4 linked regions of the Drosophila melanogaster genome follow. The protein of the gene in region 1 purifies or fractionates together with the protein of each later gene. This does not show direct contact. Each region holds a gene or a part of one and is shown on either strand. Other genes may lie near its edges.

Region 1 (3,551 bases):
CTTTTTTTTACTGTGTGTTAAAACTAACAAACAATATGAACATGATTTTAATATGTTAACTTGTTAATTTGAAAGTGCCAGAAATCTGCGGGTAGAATAGTATAGGTGACTGACTCTTTAGTTCCATGGAGCAACAAATACCAAGAGAATAAACAAAACGAACTATTTAGGTGTGTCTCTGAAATATCTTACAAGTCAAATTTGGTGTCATAGAAATTTTGTAAAAAGAATTGAGCAAACAACTGAGATTTTCAACAAGTCATGCCTATTGATTTGTTAATATAATATATATTTAAATTTTTAAGCAATACTATTTACAATTTGTTTGCTGACCAATTTGGAACTCAACACATTTACGTGAGAATTCAGTTCAATGTCAACGAACGCGTGCAAATAGCCGCGAAATATCTTTGGAATTGCTTCACTCGAAATAAACGCTAGAAACAAACGAAAAATACCTCGGCCAAAAAAGGCAAATAAAAGCGAATTTTTTCGCAAAACTGGAAATCTAAACAGAGACAAAGGAGATTCGTCACAATCGCCAAAGAACGAAAAGCAAAAGTTGCAGAATTGCTGAGAAGATTTGCAGACGGAAGAAGAAGAGAGCTGTTGTTAAAAAGCTGCAAATGCCAATGGGTTAATGAGGGGGAGGGGGGCAAAGAGAAAAGAAGAGGAGCAATGAAGAGAGGGGGGAGGCAAGTAGGTGGTAATAAGCTGCACCCAACCAACAAGCGAAACAACAACAGTTAGCTTCCATTTGTATTTTTCTCTCTCATTAGCCTCTCTTCGCCATTTCCTCTGCCTCTCCGTTTTCTACGTACCTCATCGATTGATGCTAAAAACTATGAATAAAATATAGGTTAGGCCTTTTCCTTATTTGTAAAAAGCCAACGAGCGTTGAACTCGTCTTGTAGCGTGGGAGTTTTGCTTTCGGAACAACGAAACTATTTTGTTTTGATTTTATCTCAGCGAATTATAATGAAATTTATGCACCGGTGTAACCGCGTGGAGATAAAAGAAAAAGGGAAGCAACGAAACGAAAAGAAAAGAAAAAACAGCAAATGTGAAAAACAAAACAAGCGACTAAAGCGATGGGCCAATTATAAAAACAACAACTATGCGACTCTGTACTTTAAGTAAAAGCCGGCATGCGTGCGAGCAAGCGAGAGAGGCAGAGAGAACAGGGCGGCAGAGCGAGAGAGAGCTAGGAATATTTCTGTGTGCCCTGGTGGTTGTAATAAAATGAAAGGAAGAAAAACTGTAAAACTCAAGCGCCGAAGCCAAAAGAACGATTTTGGGGGTGTAGTTAAAAATCACACTATATTGCTATAAAAAATCGGCATGTATTGGCGAATCTTTTTCTTAGAAATGTATTCAGGAAAACACAAGACCACACAACACACACACACATTGCTTTTAGCCTGGTTTATTTGCCTCGCAAATTCGCTTTTCATTCGCGTTTCCCCAGGCAAAAGATAAAAAAAAACTGTAGAAGAAAAACTCACCTATCGGGATGCCTTTGTTTTCCTTCAGCTACGAAGACTTTGATGCCACCGAACTTAATCACTTAACTTTCAATTGGTATTCAACACGATTTTGTCCGCCACTAAACACTGGCTGGTAAAATATTATTCAAAATATGTATAGCACAAACACACTAGAGCTGAGTTAAAATGCACAAAAGTTAGAGAGGAATTGGAAAATGGCGTATCACCCTGTCATCGATACCTGGACTATCGATATATGATGGTTGAAAACGGTGGTTTAACACTTATTCTTAAAAATACTGTTCGGTGGTATTTATTCATTTTGTTTGACATTGTAATGTAAAAGGCACATATTCTCACCATACCGCTGAATGAAATATATTTATATTTTCAACATCACTTATGTTACAAGGGACTTATGAGTAATAAGAGCTAGTGGAAATACCTCAAAAAAAAACCAATAACAGGGTTGTCACCATACTCTATAATTTCTATCGGCCTGGTGTTTTGCAGAAACTTGCAACTGGTCACACCAATGTGGCATTGTTTTGTTTTGTTTACAATTTGAATTTACTAACAAATTATTTCAATGGAGGATTCGGAAGCCGCATTTAAACGCCACGAGGGTGTGGGACCAAAGGTGAAACAGGCCTACGAGGAAGCCATTAAACAAATCTTTGCCGACTTGAGGTAAGCAGCAGGCATAGTTAACATGATAACGAATATTAAAAATCGTTAATATCTAGCTGCGCAGATCTGCAAGCGTGGGATGCCATTTACCAGGAGCACGAGCAATCCGCTCTGGACACCGAAAGCATCGTAGATCGCACTCGCAGTCTGATGACCAAGGTTGTGCTCGAAATGAACCGATGCTTTTTCGCCAGCAACGATGTGCCAAATAAGTTGCAAACTTTGGAAATGCTCAAGGAACATTTCGCTGCCTACGAGGGCAAGAAATGGTACATGTGCAGCATAAAACATAATACGATTCGATTGCATTGCTAACTCTACTCTACTCTATTGTAATCTATAGGAACGTGAACACTGCAGCACCCGATAAACTCACTCGGCCGCTGCGCATGCGATTTTTGGACTTCAGCGTGGAATTCATGGAGCAGCAACTGGCCTCTCAGGCAAAAGAACTTGAGGTGCGATTTGGATATTAGTTAATCTTTGTACTATTACTGCACTGTTTTGAGTGTACCAAAAGATCCCTAAAGTTAAAGAACCTTCGAGAAGATTTTTAGTTTAATAATTTCATTTCTATAGTTTATCATTTGCATATACATATGTACATATCTAGGTTTGTTATTCTATCAGTATAACTAACATTTGTTTATATTTCAATTACAGATTGCTATGGCCAAGAGCAATGCCAATCGCGAGCGACTCCAACATGTCCATGACAAGCGCCTGAAATTGACTGTCCAAATGGAGCAGCAATTGTCGCAGTACGAGAAAGTTAAGACAGAACTTATTAAACTAGGCGAAGCATTGAACGACTTCTGACAAACTTAAATGCAATAAATAAATAAAATACTACGCTATGAGCTTAATGATTTGAGTGGGGGGTCTTAAAATGGAAATTCATACAAACTAATCTGCATATTCATTAATGTACATACATATGTATGTACACATGCATTTGTCATTGACATTCACAATTTATTTAAATTCGTATCATTGCAATAAGCTCATAATATTAACGAGCAATTGTTTGTATTGGCGACAAAAAATCTTTTAAAATTGAATGTATATACATACATTTCAAGTTATCTCTATAAAGAATACGATAAATAGTACGAAGTTTTTAGCTAAACATGTGTAAACTTATGTATGTATGCATGTGTTTTTTGAGTGATTTCTTAGAATCGCTGTGTGCTTACACACTCCCATACATACATACTTGATTGCGTAGTATAAATCAAAGGAATGGTATTAGTGTAAAAAAGAACCGAATTTTTGCTAGATCTTCCTCAAAAAGTAACTAATAATATACATTTAAAGATGTTTTTTAAAAGATTCGTTTTAATTTCCCTTGTGAGACTGCACTCATTATACAGA
Region 2 (3,767 bases), on another chromosome or scaffold:
TCCTCGGAAACGTTCAGCACATGGTTCTTTACCAGACGAGTGATGGCATGAGCCCGGGATGCCGTATTGTGTCGGGATGCCTTCAATGGCAGGGCAGCCACGGTGGCCACATCGAGATAGAGGGATACCTTATCGGTGGGCGCGGGATGCAGACAAGCGACGGCATTCAGGAAGGTCTCCTCGGTGACGCGCGGACTGAGTTTGCTCTCCAGATGACTGAACTTCAGTAGGTTTAGATGGCGCAGCTGGCCGATGATCAGGACCGGATGTGTCTGCGGATCACTGCAGCCTAGCGACTCGTTAAACTTTACGTCCGTGGCCATCTGTAAGAGAATGTGTGTGCGAATGAGTAAAGAATGGAATGGCTAGCCAAATCCCAGTGATAAGCCGCCGGTATTATCTTATCGGTGCTAATCTGGTGTTTAGCGCTCCAAGTGCCCCACTTGCTTATCAGTCGACGACTTTGCACCACAGGGGCGGTCAATGGATGCAGCCATCCATAAATCACGAGAGCCAAAACCGGCGAGATAAGCAGTGGCATTTGGGTTATGGGTAGGGCCATCTGGACAAACACAGGGGCGTTACTCATCGGTTGCAAGCGGATGCAACGCTGTAGGGGAAGTTTAAGAATAGCTGACCCATATTAGAATGGCTCAATTAAAGTAGCTCCATTGTGAAAAATACTGCAGTATAATTTTATAACTAAAATTCTAATAAAAAACAATCAATCAATAATTATGTTTACAACTAAAAAGCATTGGGTTCATAAAATGAAGCTTCAAAAGAAAAAAATTACCTCTAAAATATTTTAACTATAATAATCACCTAATATACATAAATATAAATTGTATTGCATTTATAATGAACAAATTAAGATAAATTGTAGTAGCAATATGAATTCTAATAATTTACATAACATTTTCTGAGTTTTAGCGAATATTAGAAAATCTTATAAAATCAAATAACGTTTTTTTTTACAAATTATTAATTTTAATATATTTTGGTACAATAACTTAACTAAGTAGTTAACATTTTCAACTTAAAGCCATCAATTTTCCAGCTTTACAGTCGCAAGGCAATAAAAACATAAACTACCGAAAAGATATCGTTCAGCACATATCTTTACGATGCTCCATAAACTCGCATGGGTTTTATAAGCACGATATCATTGTGCATAAAGCGATTTAAGTTTCTTAAAATCGCAAATGCCACATGACCTTGAATTCGGTGCAACAAGAACAACAAGTGGGTCGTTGACCGACTCGCAGCATTCGAAACCGAAAAGTGGATAAACATCTAATTTACCCATTTTCAATTGGATTTGACTGGACACTCGATATGTAGAAATATTATGCAAATTCTATATTCTCTATTTTTAGACTCTTTGTTCGCGATTTCTTCGTTTGCAAAGCGTTTTTTGCACATTTTCTGCCTTTTTATTCGCTCACCTTTTTGAAGCGGGCGCTGCTGTAGGTGCGAGCGAGATGGTTGCGTATTGCCTGGACGCAGAGCAGCAAACGCATGAAGTGCCTGCTTCAGAAATTGCACAAAAATTTGCCAAAAGTGCCGACGTTTTATTTTTATTTTATTTTGCTGCCAATTTGACTTGCAATTTTTTGCTTGCCGGCTAATAGAGATGTGACTTGCACGACGATAAGTCGATGTCAGCTATCGATAAGTGCAGAACCACTTTTTTCTTTCAGCCTGGCCACCCTGCTGGTGTCGTGGAAGTGTCATCCCTAATGAGAAGTACCACCACTAACTGGAAAGCAAAACAAGCGTCTGGAAAACGGCGCTTAGTTTTTAAAGATTTTAATTGATTGCAGTAAATTGAGTTTAAAATGGCAATTATTATGACTGAATCGAGTTACGAAAGGCGCGTAAAGGCTTTGTACGAAAAACAAATTCACATGGAAGCCCTCGAGGCGAAATTCATCAAAAAGGTCTTTAAATTCAACAGCAATTTGTGTGAGTTGGAATTTATCTCCATATATCTCCATTTCAATTGATATATTTCACTAAATATTTTAGTGGATGTCAAGGAAGCAGCTTCGCGCCATCAGCGGAAAGTGGGAAAGTTGCAAAAAGTGCTCATGGAGCGGCGGGAGGAGTTGGACAAGCGAGTTTCCTTCATAGAGGAACTTGATCGAGAACTGGAGGCCACCAAACTTCACAATTTGGCCATGAAAGATTGGTTTAAACAGCAGAAAATGCTGGCCAAACAGCGCAAAAACGAAATCATGGAAAGGTCAGGGATTAGGTCAAAGATAATCATATTAAGATTTTCTTAGCACGAATGGCTAGCTAATATTTTCCGGGCTCCAATGGGTTCGATCTTGTCCTTATTATACATAAAAATGACTATTCATATTGATTTTTAGTCCATCCAAAACTACTATTGGTACAAATATATGTATATGACAATAATGTATTGTCAACATTTATGGTCTTTACATGCGTACAAGTTGCAGTGAGAGACTAATCAAATACTTTATTTACTTTAACTAAATCTATTAGGAGCATCATCAAAGTCTATAAACTGCAAATAATAGATATAGTTGAGGTCGTGTTCCAAATAACTTATTTAGCTTACATACATAATTTATTTGCATAGCCTCACATGCGCTCTTATTTTTCAAACAAATCCGATTTTAATGCGGTCAGTTTTAAACTTAGTATACTATAATGAGAGCAATGTGTGTTTATTTGTTTTATTTTATAGCATTCACACGCTGTCGAAGACAACAAGAACCTATATAAATCAAGAAGCGCTGCCGGCACGTGTGAAGGGTGTCACTGTACTCCGTGGCGATAAACGCGACCAGTTGATACCCTTTGATCTGAAGGCGACCGATGTGGAAGGACTGGACTCACTGTGTCAGCATCTCGAGAGTCTAAATGTGGACGTGGCGCAGTGGCAGCAGCTTATCTCGCTGGCCATGGACATGGCTATGGAGTCACGTGCTCCCACTACTCCGCCCAAGGAAGCAGACAATTGCAAGTCTATAATCGAGATTGATCTCACATCGCCGATGAGCCACACCTGACTTCCGATTAACTGATTTACTTGGATTAGGGGGAAGACCCTTTTCCAATGGAGCACTTTATTTTAGCATTATAAATAGTTGGCTTCCAATAAAAGCTCAATTGGGAATTCATCTTAACGAATTAAGCATCTTATTATAGCAGTTTTTTAGCCATTTAAGTACTGCTTGTAATTGTTTAAGTGCAGTGTAAATTATACATATATCTCCCAAAATTTTTTTTTTTTTCTTTTTTCTGATATATCATCTTCACTGGAAGCTTAAAAATTTTTAGAGATATCGCCAAAGAAGAGATATCGCGAAAGGCTCCAGTTTAAGTAGTTCCAATTCAAACTTATTCAAATTAAAAACCAGTTATTGAATTTATTTTAAATCAAAAGTCTTCTTATCATATTTAACCAAATTTACAACTTTAGTGATAATTATATCATAAATTTGGTTTAATGAGTTCTCTATTACTATAAGGTTTTATATATATTTCAAATGTTTGGGTAATTTCCTTATAACTATATCAGAACAAGACCTGTTTTATTAAACACCTTTCTTTAAGATTTGTATGATTATCTGAGAGCTTTTGACATGGCGGCCGGTGTTAATCGAGAAATCTCGAAAGTCACAAGCGACTCAGAGTGCCACCGACTAACCGATCTATGAATAAACAGCGATCCATATAGATTGGCGCTGCTCAATTGCTATTGTCCGGCGAAAGTTAGAGCGACCTAT
Region 3 (3,817 bases), on another chromosome or scaffold:
GGTGCCAACGGTATTTTGAAAGTATTTTTTCCTGTTCACTTGGGTATATTTCGACGGTACAGCTGCGGTCACACAATTAAAAGTGACTGGCATCATTTAGCAACAAAAAACGCGAATAGCGTCAAAAACATTGTTTTATCGCCGTTGGAATTAATAAAAGCACACAAAATGTCTGCCCCAGATAAGGAAAAGGAGAAAGAGAAGGAGGAGACCAACAACAAGAGCGAAGACTTGGGTCTCCTGGAGGAGGACGACGAGTTCGAAGAGTTTCCCGCCGAAGGTTGGACGCAATAATGTGGTGGTACATCGGCAGTTTCTAATCACTTTCATTGTAGATTTCCGCGTTGGCGACGACGAGGAAGAGCTAAATGTGTGGGAGGACAACTGGGACGACGACAACGTGGAGGACGACTTCAGCCAGCAGTTGAAGGCCCATTTGGAGAGCAAGAAAATGGAAACGTAAACCGGCACCGACCCCTTTGTTCAGTCCTAACCATAAAAACGAGCTGAGCTGTTTTGCATTAATAGAATAAAATCAGTATATTAAGTGGAATTCATCTGCCAGTTTTGTCCGAGAACCTCATGGATTTGCTCATTTAATATGGCATATAGCTGATCTTGCTCCAAATTTTGCTGGTCTAGCTCGATCAAGTGATTATTCAGATCCTCCAGACGTTTCTTGCGATCCTCAACATCGACCTGCAGCTTTTTGAGTTCATTTTGCACCTTGTGATTCTCGGCATCGTTTTCCTGGTTTCTTTCCTCGTACCGATGTGCACAAAGAGCGAGTTCCTGCTTCTTGGCCTCTGCATCCTGAAGGAGCTTCTGATAATTAACTTTACAGGTGGGCAACTGCTTTTCCACTGCCTCCAGCTGCTTGAAGCTCTCTTTGTAATCATCCACCTTGCACAGCGAAAGCACAGCCGTGGCCTTCTCCAAAGCGGTGGCTATATGTTGACTGTTTTCGATCATCCGGCGATGTTCATTCGTCACCTGTTTTTTACTGGCCAGCTCCGTCTTGCAGCTCTCGACATGCGACGATGCGCTCTTAATTTTCCTACAATGTTTGACATTAAAATAAGCACAGAATCTAGGCTTGCCCGACAGCACTTACTCTCGCAGCTCTGTCACTTGACTGTCCTCCACCACTAGCTGTTCCCAGTGACCGATGCGTTTGTCCAGCTCACCCTGCTGCTGCTCAATGAGTTCCAGAGTGTTTTCATGCTCGCTACAGGACTTCTTCAAAGGTAGAAGCTTTGCTTGAGTATCCTGCAAATCTTTCTTGAGTTTGTTTATGGCCACTTCGCAATCCTTCGTCTTCTGGCTGCATTGCTCCAGCTGTTGACTTTTGGCCTTCACCTCGGCGGTCAGCGAATCCTTTAGCTTAATGGCCTCCTCTACAGGTCCCAGCACCTTCTTTTTGAACACCTTGTAGTAGGCCAGATGGTTGAAAAGGTAGCTCAGCGTGGCGAGCGTTTTTTTAACAGCTAATAGCCAAAGAATTGTTTAATAATAATTGCTTATTGTAAGACCGGCTGCCGGCTCACCTGGTTTAATTATGTCCATATAGGTGTACGTCTTGTTGGGAAAGCTGATCTGGACGATGCGCTCCACTTGGCGGCACACTCGGATAAGAAAGACGCGCGCCTCCCGCGACGAGTGACCGAGTTCGGTGCCAATCTTATAGGGCGGCTCCAGGCGAAAGCCGAAACTCCGCAGATAGTGCACCATGATCTTGGTGACAATGGGCTCGGTGGGATTGGCCAAGTCGCTTTGGCAGATATTGATGTCGGGCATCAGGCAGTTGCCCTGGTCCATTACCCTTTCAATTTCGACTGATAACGCCATTCAATCCAGAGTTTTAATTTTTAATGGCAGTTTTTGAATGGAACGCCGCTAAGGGATCAGATTGATGTGACCAAAGCTTGCTAGCCCCAAAAAACCACTAAAATACTAACTCAGAATTTATGTGGTTTTCACACCTATAGTCCTACAGCAGATTCTCGGGTTTTTTTATCCGGTTTTCTTTCCCGGCAGCTAGAAAATACTGCATTTGTTCAGCGCAAACTTAAAAAGTAACGGAAAATCTGGCTAAAGTTACTAAGTTACATTTTTTATTGGTGAGTGAAAACTCTGGCTTCCTCCAGCGCTGCAAAAGATGATGCTAAAAATCTGATATGCCCGTACGGGGTTTTCTCCAAAACTTGGCCAAAAAAGGTGGCACAGCGAAAATAAAGACTGTTTTGTACTGCTAATAAACATACCTAACTATCCCTATCACTAGTTTTTTGATTTTCCAAAAATAAAATTTTTACAAAATTTCGCATTTTTGATAAGGGGTACCCTCATCAAAATTTGCAAAAAATTGAAGCCTCTTGGATCTTTCAGGTTTCAACACATATGGATAGGGAATTAAGTTACGAACTCAACGAGATATGACATTCCAGTTTTGGACAACTATTCTTATTGCTATTGCAAAAAACTCGTTATTTTTGTAACCAAAAAGGAACGAAAAGAAATTTTGCCAAAAATCGTATATTTCCAATCGCTGATTTCTCCATAACTTGGCCAAAAAAGGTGGTACAGTGAAAATAAATACTGTTTTGTACTGCTAATAAACATACCTAACTATCCCTATCACTAGTTTTTTGATTTTCCAAAAATAAAATTTTTACAAAATTTCGCATTTTTGATAAGGGGTACCCTCATCAAAATTTGCAAAAAATTGAAGCCTCTTGGATCTTTCAGGTTTCAACACATATGGATAGGGAATTAAGTTACGAATTCAACGAGATATGACATTCCAGTTTTGGACAACTATTCTTATTGCTATTGCAAAAAAACTCGTTATTTTTGTAACCAAAAAGGAACGAAAAGAAATTTTGTCAAAAATCGTATATTTCCAATCGCTGATTTCTCCATAACTTGGCCAAAAAAGGTGGTACAGTGAAAATAAATACTGTTTTGTACTGCTAATAAACATACCTAACTATCCCTATCACTAGTTTTTTGATTTTCCAAAAATAAAATTTTTACAAAATTTCGCATTTTTGATAAGGGGTACCCTCATCAAAATTTGCAAAAAATTGAAGCCTCTTGGATCTTTCAGGTTTCAACACATATGGATAGGGAATTAAGTTACGAATTCAACGAGATATGACATTCCAGTTTTGGACAACTATTCTTATTGCTATTGCAAAAAAACTCGTTATTTTTGTAACCAAAAAGGAACGAAAAGAAATTTTGTCAAAAATCGTATATTTCCAATCGCTGATTTCTCCATAACTTGGCCAAAAAGGTGGCACAGCGAAAATAAAGACTGTTTTGTACTGCTAATAAACATACCTAACTATCCCTATCACTAGTTTTTTGATTTTCCAAAAATAAAATTTTTACAAAATTTCGCATTTTTGATAAGGGGTACCCTCATCAAAATTTGCAAAAAATTGAAGCCTCTTGGATCTTTCAGGTTTCAACACATATGGATAGGGAATTAAGTTACGAATTCAACGAGATATGACATTCCAGTTTTGGACAACTATTCTTATTGCTATTGCAAAAAAACTCGTTATTTTTGTAACGAAAAAGGAACGAAGAGAAATTTTGTCGAAAATCGTATATTTCCAATCGCTCATTTCTCCAAAACTTGGCCAAAAAAGGTGTCACAGCTAAACTAATGACTGCTAATAAATATAACTAACTATCCCTATCACTATTTTTATGATTTTCCTAAAACGAAATTTTAACACATTTTCGATAAGGGGTGTAAAACTGGGCGACACATTTGATACATGTAACAATGAACTGGGTGAAACAT
Region 4 (7,803 bases), on another chromosome or scaffold:
ATCACTTAAATTAGTAATGTATTGAGATACACCTTGGAGAAGCTTATACCTTGTTAGCCTCGCTCTCTTCTGCGCTAGAAGATCTAAAACTTTGTGTAACTTTTGCTTGACTTCTGCAATTCTGCGATCAATGCCGTTGAGAAATTTCAAGAAAGCCGTCTCATCACTGCCCTCGATCTCGTCGCTAGGATTCATCGGCAGGCGGAGACTTAGGTGGAAGTTTAAAAAGTGTTCACGCGATGACCATTGGTCCTTGGGAGTGGGCACGTCATTGTCTAGTTGAATGGAACACACGCTAATGGTGGACTCCTCTACTAAGTCTTCGATTTGGTAGTTCACCACGATTCGGATCGTGGTCAGCTGTCGGTTGTAAAATATCATTTGCTGGGACACTTTACGCTGGTAGTCGAAGATCCAGTTGGGCTGCTGTTCGGTTAGCAAACGTTTGAGTCTCGTAAAGAAGGATTCCGGGGGCATGGCTATGTCCTTCTCTTCTGTTCTTCTGTTGTAGAAATAGTAAATGTTAAAAAATGATTCAAAATTCCAAGTGTATTCGGTACTCACAGCTTGCACATTTCAAGAAGCGCCGCTTTGTTCCACTTGGTGGCCTCCTCCTCCACCCTGGTCTGCTCCATTGAATCGTCGGAGTCTTGGTTCCTGGACAGACGAGCCTCCTCCTCGATCTCCCAGTAAGTGTTCACTTCCTTCCACGACGGCCTCTGCCTTATATTGCGCAACCGTTGCTGTAGCCTTGAAAAGTCCCACAATTTCCGAGGTGGCAGGACAAATGACTCGCTACTTAGCCTTGTTTCGCTCAAAGTATGATTGCAATTCCTGCACTTTTTGCAGGAGCCTTCGCTGCCAGCTTTTACCATTGAATTCAGTTGAGCCTCGCAGATTTCAGGTTGTAAGAGATGCTGTTTTTGCTTCTGCTCTTCTTCCTCCTCCTTCTCGTCGCCATCATCGTCTGTTTCCTCCGCCAGCGTGGAAACCAGACTTAGGTGCTCGTTATCTATCTGGTGGGGCTGGTCCTTCCCCTCACCACCCAAATCTTCTGCGGCTGCAAAGATGGTTGTGTTCCCGGTCAGATTGATGAATTTTGAGATTGTTGCTGCGTAGCTCTTGAAGGTTCTATCGTTGGAGCTGCCGCTCTCTCTTTCGCTAGACTGGCGCTGCTGCTCCTTTTGCTCATGGAAGTAATTATTAACATCGGAGATAGTGATGGGTTTCTCCTCTAGATCCATGTTATAGGTCGATTTTCGTGGCAGCTCCAGCATATTAAGACCACCCTGTTTGTTCATCTCAGTCACTACAGGATTGTAGTCCCTTACTGGCTGCACCGACGCGTCCAACTGGTCTACCGTGTAGGTCCTGCGTGATTTACTTGTCCCTGTGTGCATCTGAATACTTTTTGTCCCCCAAGAACCTTCCTGATCCTCCTCCAATTCGATGTCCATGTTGCTATTCGGAAACAGATGCGTGTTTCGTTTCTTGGACTCCGGAAGGTTGGGCGTGAGATGCGTGGGTAGGCGCTTTAGTTGGACGAGATTTTTTGGAGTTCCAAAGCCGGAGGCATTCGCCTCAAGGTCTATCGGCACTGGTTGGTACATGGACAATTTTTTCCGATGGGAAGTCAGGAGAACTCTTTTGTGAATCGGGGTCTTGCACATCTCTTCCTGATCCACAAATTCAGTCAAGGACATTCCCGGCGTGATTGCATTAAAGTCCGGACCCCTCGGCCTAAACTGCGGGCTTTGAAAGTCCATTGATTCGGACATAGCAATGGATTGCTGAGTCTTGGCACTGGGAGGAGTGCCTATCTCTTCGTTTTCTACGGAATTTTTAGATGAATGAATGGGTCCTTCTGGTTTTTCTAGCTTTTCGGAAATTTGGTGCTTGGTCCTTATGGGGTAGTTATGTCCGAATATCCCCTCATCCTCTTCCATGGGTTCCGATAAAAGTAGCGTATGTCTTCTGGATGACGGAACATCAGGAACCTGGCTTCTTTGGGGTAAAGTCTCTTCCACGGATTGTGAAATTTCTGGTCTGTTGGAATCCAAATCCTCGATGATAGGCTCCGCCGAAACCTTCGAGCCCATTGATTTATTTTTAGAAATTCGAGTGTGTTGCGCGGGTACATCTTCTTCTATGGACTCAGTCAGCAGCGTAGTTCTGCCCTTCACCGCAGGTTCGGATTCTCTTTGCTGTTGGCCCGGAATATGATCCTCCTCAATGGGTACCGGTATATGCACGGATTGTCTTGTTTTGGCAGCCATATATCCACCGGACTGTGGAACATTTAAAGAGTCACAGATCCCATTTTGTTTGGTCATATTGTGGTTATTAACATCTTCTTCAATGGGCTCTGCCATGATAAGGGTCTTTCTGTACCTGGACCTCAGAGGCCCCACTGATGAGTTTTCATTTACGGGTTCTAAATCCTCCTGAATAGTTTCATGCGAGATGAGGGTATTCCGCGGCTTCTGGTGGAGATAGTTTAGGGGTTCCTTGGGAGGAGTTTGAACCGATTCGGAAAATTGCTGTTTAGCTATTTGATCAGTAATTGAAAATAGGGCATTTTCAATGGGCTCGGCGAATGACTGAATAATTCTGGCGGTCAAAGATGACTCCTTTGAATTTTCCAGCGGCTTACGAACACTCAAATCCTCTTCAATGGGTTCGGCAGTAATAAGCGTGTGTCGTCTAGAGGTCTTCCTAGTGATTTTATCCTTAGATATAGGAAGTGGCTTTGGCTGATCATTTGACTGATTGAAAACATCTTCCTCTATAGGCTCTGCCATCAGCAGAGTTTGACGAGATTTGGAAGTTTGAAATACCGCTTCTTCAGAAGATTCTTTAGTAAATTGACCTATTTTTTCAGCGATAGACTTATTGCCCTCTTCCTCTATCGGTTCCGCCATCAAAATGGTTCGCCTCGATCTTAACGTTCTATTTGTGCTGGCATTCGTACTTTTATCTTCGTTAGTTAGTTCTTCTTCAATCGGTTCGGACATCAAAAGAGTGTGTCTTGGTCTGGAAGTTGACGAACCAGTGATGTTAGTTTGCACCCTACGTTCCGTTTCTCCAACATCTTCTTCGATGGGCTCTGCCATGATGAGCGTTTGCCTTGGCTTGAATCTTTGCTGTCTAGCTAAACTATCCTCCTTTTCAGCTGGCAAGTCCTGCTGAATATGTTCTTCTTCAATAGGTTCGGATAATAATAGCGTGTGCCTCGATTTTGATCGCTGCTGCTCGGTTGATTTATCTATTGTTTTTTGCGACACTATTGACTTATTCTTTGGCGGTGGAAGACACATTTCCTCCTCTAAAGGTTCTGACAAAAGGAGAGTTTGTCTGGATTTAGCGATCTTTCTTATGTGGTTCTCTCCAGGTTTGGCAATATTATATTTATTGTTAAATTCCGTGTCCTCCTCCATGGGTTCTTCGATCAGGAGGGTTTGCCTAGCTTTGGATCTGCTTTGCGAAGTGAAACTCTTCCCCTGGTTTAATTGACTGTATTTCTGAGGTCCAGTCTTGTTTCCCTTTAAAGCACATTCCGGTAAATCTTTCGCATTGTGAAATATTTCCTCCTCCACGGGCTCCTCGAACAAAAGAGTTTGTCTACCCTTGGATTTGTTTTCTTGATGCGCGACTACTTTTATTGGTATGTGCTTTTCCAAAATGAAATCCTCTCCCTCCACCACCAGAGGTTCCGCTAAGTGGAGAGTCTTTCTTTTGGAATTGTAACCAATGTTACTGCTCATTTCCTCTTCCATAGGTTCCTCTAATAGCAGCGTTTTCCTCGCTTTAAGTTGTTCTCTAGGGGCAACATTTTTAGTTGGTAACATATTACTTTGGTTTATGTCCACTTCCTCCAGTGGTTCTGCTAGATACAGCGTATGGTTCACTTTGGATTGCCCTGTATTCATAGGAGCCGCATTGGGCTTTAATTGTAAGTTTTTGAGAGGGCTAATGATGTCCTCCTCCATGCTTTCCTGCATCAAAAGCGTCGCCCTGCGCTTGGTTTTAGTGCAGGCCCATGTGTTGCGATTTTGGTTGCTGTTCTGCTCGTTGGTTGTGGATTTTTCGTAGATAGTCTCCTGCGTGGTAACCGATATCTCCTTCCTAACGTACGTGGATTTCGTTGTTTCATGATCCATAGATTCATTGAGATGTAAGGTGCGACGCGAGGTAGCAGTTTTCAATGCAGGAATAGCAGGGTAATTTGTCTGACTGAGCTGCATTTCTTCAGCCATAAAATCAGTTTTACGAGTCTTGGAACTCGGAATGGGTTGAAAGTCCTGACTTAACGTAGGATATTCCAAATTCAGTTCCGAGGTTTCGCAAGTTGTCTCCCTTCTTGTCGAGTTCTTCGACGTATTTCTCGACTGCGTTTCGTCGCCTAGTCTGGCGTGGGCCAAGAAGTTTGTATTGTCAAGCATCATCTCATCCGCCTGGGATAGTCGATACTTCTGCTTCTCATCCGCCGCCTTTAGTTTCTCCTTGTTCTTTCCAACTGGACTTGTTTTCGTCGGCGTCAAGGTCATGTTCTCACTGAAATTTAACATTCCTCGTGGCACTATGCTTCTTATATCTTTCTTTGGACTATTATCTCCCGCGCTCTCCTCTTCAAGGCCGCACCAAAACCGATTTTTCTTGGCCTTACGATCCGTGGTCGGCGTTTTTGGCCCGTTCGGAAATATCTGGATCTTACCCGTCTCCAGGTCTTCGTTGAGTTGACGAAAATTGAGTTTCTTGCTTATGTTTTTCCCCGAAATCATGTCGAATGGTATCAGCATCGACTCATCTCTCGTAAAGTTCATGGTGCTATTAAGGCTCTCAAAGGAGTTCGATGGCGAACGATCTCGGTTATTGGAAACTGCAAAATAATGTGACAACCGAAAACTTGCTAATTAGAAACTATTGGGAAGGGATTTAACTGAGATAATACTAACCATTTAATGAGAAGGATGCACCTCCAGCTCCCTGTTGGGTTTTATTCTTGGTCTCCCCCACGTCCATGAAAAGCGATTTCTGCGCCGGAGTTTTTGTCTGGTTTTTGGTGGACTCACGCATCTCCCTTACAATGCTGTCCTCTTCGAGCTCCATTAAACTTTGTTGAGTTGGAGGATATAGAGTTGCAACTGGAGCTGGAGCGGGAGCAGCAGGATTGGGATCAGTAAATCCCAATGGCGTGATGTCCATGAAGGAGTCACTCACAGCCTTGACAGCTGGCGTGAATACCACCTTCTCCAGTTTGTTTGTTGCCACTTTGATGGAGGATTCCTCACAAACGCTCGACGCGATTTGGTGGCGGTTGACGAGAGATCCGGATATCAGATCCATGGTCTTGTCTACCAGCTGGCGGTCGCTGAGACTGCTTTGCAACAGTTTTCGCTCCTCGGAGGTCATGCAAAAGGACACAGCAGAGATTGAGGATGTCTTCCTCGATTTGTCCATCATTTCGCAGGGCAGCAGGGTGAAATCCACGCTGGCCTGCAGATTCACGGACAGATCGACATGTTCCCGCTCGCAGTGGCTGGGCAGGGGAATGTTCTCCTTGTCGGCATGTTCGGAAACCCTCGCTACTGATGCTGATCCTGTGCTGCAGCACTTCGATCCCGAGCTGTCCTCAGCATGGTGTTCCGACACCTCGTACGAGTCGTCCCAGTTGTTGGTCTCCTTGGTGTTTACGAATTCCCTATGTGGAGGGCGGGTGAGCGTTGTACATCGCATATATCTACTGTACGTACCTCACGGACTTCTTGCCACTGAAACTGATGCGTCGCTTGATTTGTTGTTTGATCGCGGACGTTGTTGTGGTCGCCTCATCTTCCTTGGTCGGCACCTTACGCAGCTGCAAGAAGAGTAGGTCTACCATGAGCGCTTCTCAATCAATTAATTTTCGAAGAACCCACCGAACTTCTGCGTTTGTTTGCGTTCATCGCGCCGTGCTGTTAACTTGTTTTTATTTCAAAATCCCATTGGAGAGACGCCGCGATTTTTGTGTTAATGGCAGACGGTGTTGCCAGATCGTTGGCGATAGATCGCTAGAAATACCAAAAGTATTTTTGATATGCCCAAAAGGCACTAACGCCTAACCAAAACCGTTGTGATTCAAATTTTACGAAATTTGCTAAAATCTTTGGATTTAAAAAATTTGTTAAGTTCATTGCTCTATGAATAAAGTTGGAATCAACCAGTACCCTCTTCTCTAGGGTGTTGCTAGACCAAAATACCAAAAATAAATTCTTTTAAATAAAGCTGAAGAAATAAATTTATGTCATAATTTGAATAAAACAAAAAAAGTTTTAATCCGATAAATTGCGAATAATTAAAAATCCATTGTCCGCACTTCACACACATCGTTAATTTTATTAACCATTAAAATCCAATATTAAATCACAAGTTTCGAAACTTTCGAGGAAATAGATCAGGCTTTGAAGGTGTCCTTTTCCTTGCGCAGCTTGCCCATGGTGACGACGGGATCGGTGGCTCCGCCAGCGTGCTTCTGCACGGTGGCTTCGTGAACGCGCATAAAGGGGTTCCAGGACTTCTCCTCGCCAATGGTGGAGGGCACAGTGGGATCCTGGGAGGCGCGCCGGTGCTTGGCCCACTCGATCCTCTGCTGGATGACCTCGTTGTCGGGCTCGACGTGACGGGCGAAGCTCATGTTCTGCAGCGTGTACTCGTGGCCACAGAACACCTTTGTGGCGTCCGGCAAGGCGGAGAGCTTTGTGCACAGCGCCTCGTACATTTCCTCGGGAGTGCCCTCGAAGAAGCGGCCGCATCCGCCCTGGAAGAGGGTGTCGCCGGTGAAGACGGCTCCCTCGCCGCTGCCCTGCTGCGCGGTGATGTGGTAGCAGATGTGGCCGGTAGTGTGGCACGGCGTGGACAAGCACTTGACATGCAGACCACCAATGGTGAAGGTGTCGTCCTGCTGAACCTTTTTGTTCAATGCCCCGATGCGGTCATCGCCGCCATACACGTCCAGCTCCTTCTCCCACAGCTTGAGCAGCTTTTCATTGCCACCGGCGTGGTCCCAGTGATGGTGCGTGGTCAGCACCTTGCTGAGGGTCAGCTGCTGCTCCTGCACCGTCTTAATGACCAGCTCCGGCTCCACGGGATCCACCACGGCCGCCTCGCGCGTCTTCGTGTCTACAATCAGATACATATAGTTATCCTGCAGGGCCGGCAGGATCTTGATCTCCATGCCCTCCAGCTGCACGTCCTCCAATGTGCTGTGCATGCCTCTGAAGCCGACTTTTCGTAGTTTTTGCACTGAAACGAAGCGATGGTTTCACATTTAGCTACATAGATGGCCAACAGATAAACAGACTGACTAGCTACGGACGAACAAAAAGCGTAGATACTGGGAAATGAAATTGCAGCACCGGGAGAGATTAGATTAAACACGTATGTACGGATAGATTACGCTTGACGAGACTTGGACAGATGACGGGCACAGCCAGAAAACGCCGCCGAATCGCTCCGAAACCAGGGGCATCCGCTCGAGGAATCGTCCGCCAGGAACGCAGGAGCAGTGTCGGATTGCTGGACGAACCTCGGAAGTAGGTGGCCGTCAACTGGGTCTCCACGGAGGTGGCCACGCTGCGCCAGGCGGAGGCCAACATTCTGTACTTTCGGCTAGATAAACTGAAAAGCGTGTGCGATTCGAAATGAATTAATTATGGCTCCTAATTACAGTTGTTTTTTTCTCCAAATCTGCTATGCTCGGGCGAGTGTGACCGTTTGGGGGCCGGTAAGGGAAACCACTGACGGGTACACCATCTACCGGAAATA

The links.
Region 2: the proteins of Nnf1a (region 1) and Spc25 purify together in Drosophila melanogaster (affinity purification with mass spectrometry; 2 studies listed by BioGRID). This does not show direct contact.
Region 3: the proteins of Nnf1a (region 1) and Nuf2 purify together in Drosophila melanogaster (affinity purification with mass spectrometry; 2 studies listed by BioGRID). This does not show direct contact.
Region 4: the proteins of Nnf1a (region 1) and Spc105R purify together in Drosophila melanogaster (affinity purification with mass spectrometry; 2 studies listed by BioGRID, with this or other methods). This does not show direct contact.

What each region holds. Positions count from the first base shown.
Region 1 is NT_033778.4:20,585,699-20,589,249, reverse strand, and holds Nnf1a (Nnf1a), read left to right. Parts: upstream 1-2,011; 5' UTR 2,012-2,076; coding exon 2,077-2,177; intron 2,178-2,233; coding exon 2,234-2,446; intron 2,447-2,520; coding exon 2,521-2,635; intron 2,636-2,840; coding exon 2,841-2,996; 3' UTR 2,997-3,028; downstream 3,029-3,551.
Region 2 is NT_033777.3:12,959,995-12,963,761, forward strand, and holds Spc25 (Spc25), read left to right. Parts: upstream 1-1,750; 5' UTR 1,751-1,841; coding exon 1,842-1,968; intron 1,969-2,031; coding exon 2,032-2,248; intron 2,249-2,722; coding exon 2,723-3,047; 3' UTR 3,048-3,255; downstream 3,256-3,767. Other genes in the region: grsm (granny smith), read right to left, coding at 1-323. UniProt on the Drosophila melanogaster protein: Acts as a component of the essential kinetochore-associated Ndc80 complex, which is required for chromosome segregation and spindle checkpoint activity during meiosis and mitosis.
Region 3 is NT_033779.5:7,063,918-7,067,734, forward strand, and holds Nuf2 (Nuf2), read right to left. Parts: upstream 1,921-3,817; 5' UTR 1,849-1,920; coding exon 1,548-1,848; intron 1,488-1,547; coding exon 1,115-1,487; intron 1,058-1,114; coding exon 544-1,057; 3' UTR 514-543; downstream 1-513. Other genes in the region: Sem1 (suppressor of exocyst mutations 1), read left to right, coding at 169-280, 336-463.
Region 4 is NT_037436.4:20,798,621-20,806,423, reverse strand, and holds the start of Spc105R (Spc105-related), read right to left. Parts: upstream 6,015-7,803; 5' UTR 5,946-6,014; coding exon 5,919-5,945; exon of another isoform or gene 5,882-5,918; coding exon of another isoform or gene 5,858-5,881; coding exon 5,754-5,857; intron 5,702-5,753; coding exon 4,956-5,701; intron 4,880-4,955; coding exon 565-4,879; intron 503-564; coding exon 50-502; intron 1-49. Other genes in the region: tzn (tenzing norgay), read right to left, coding at 6,434-7,281, 7,436-7,634.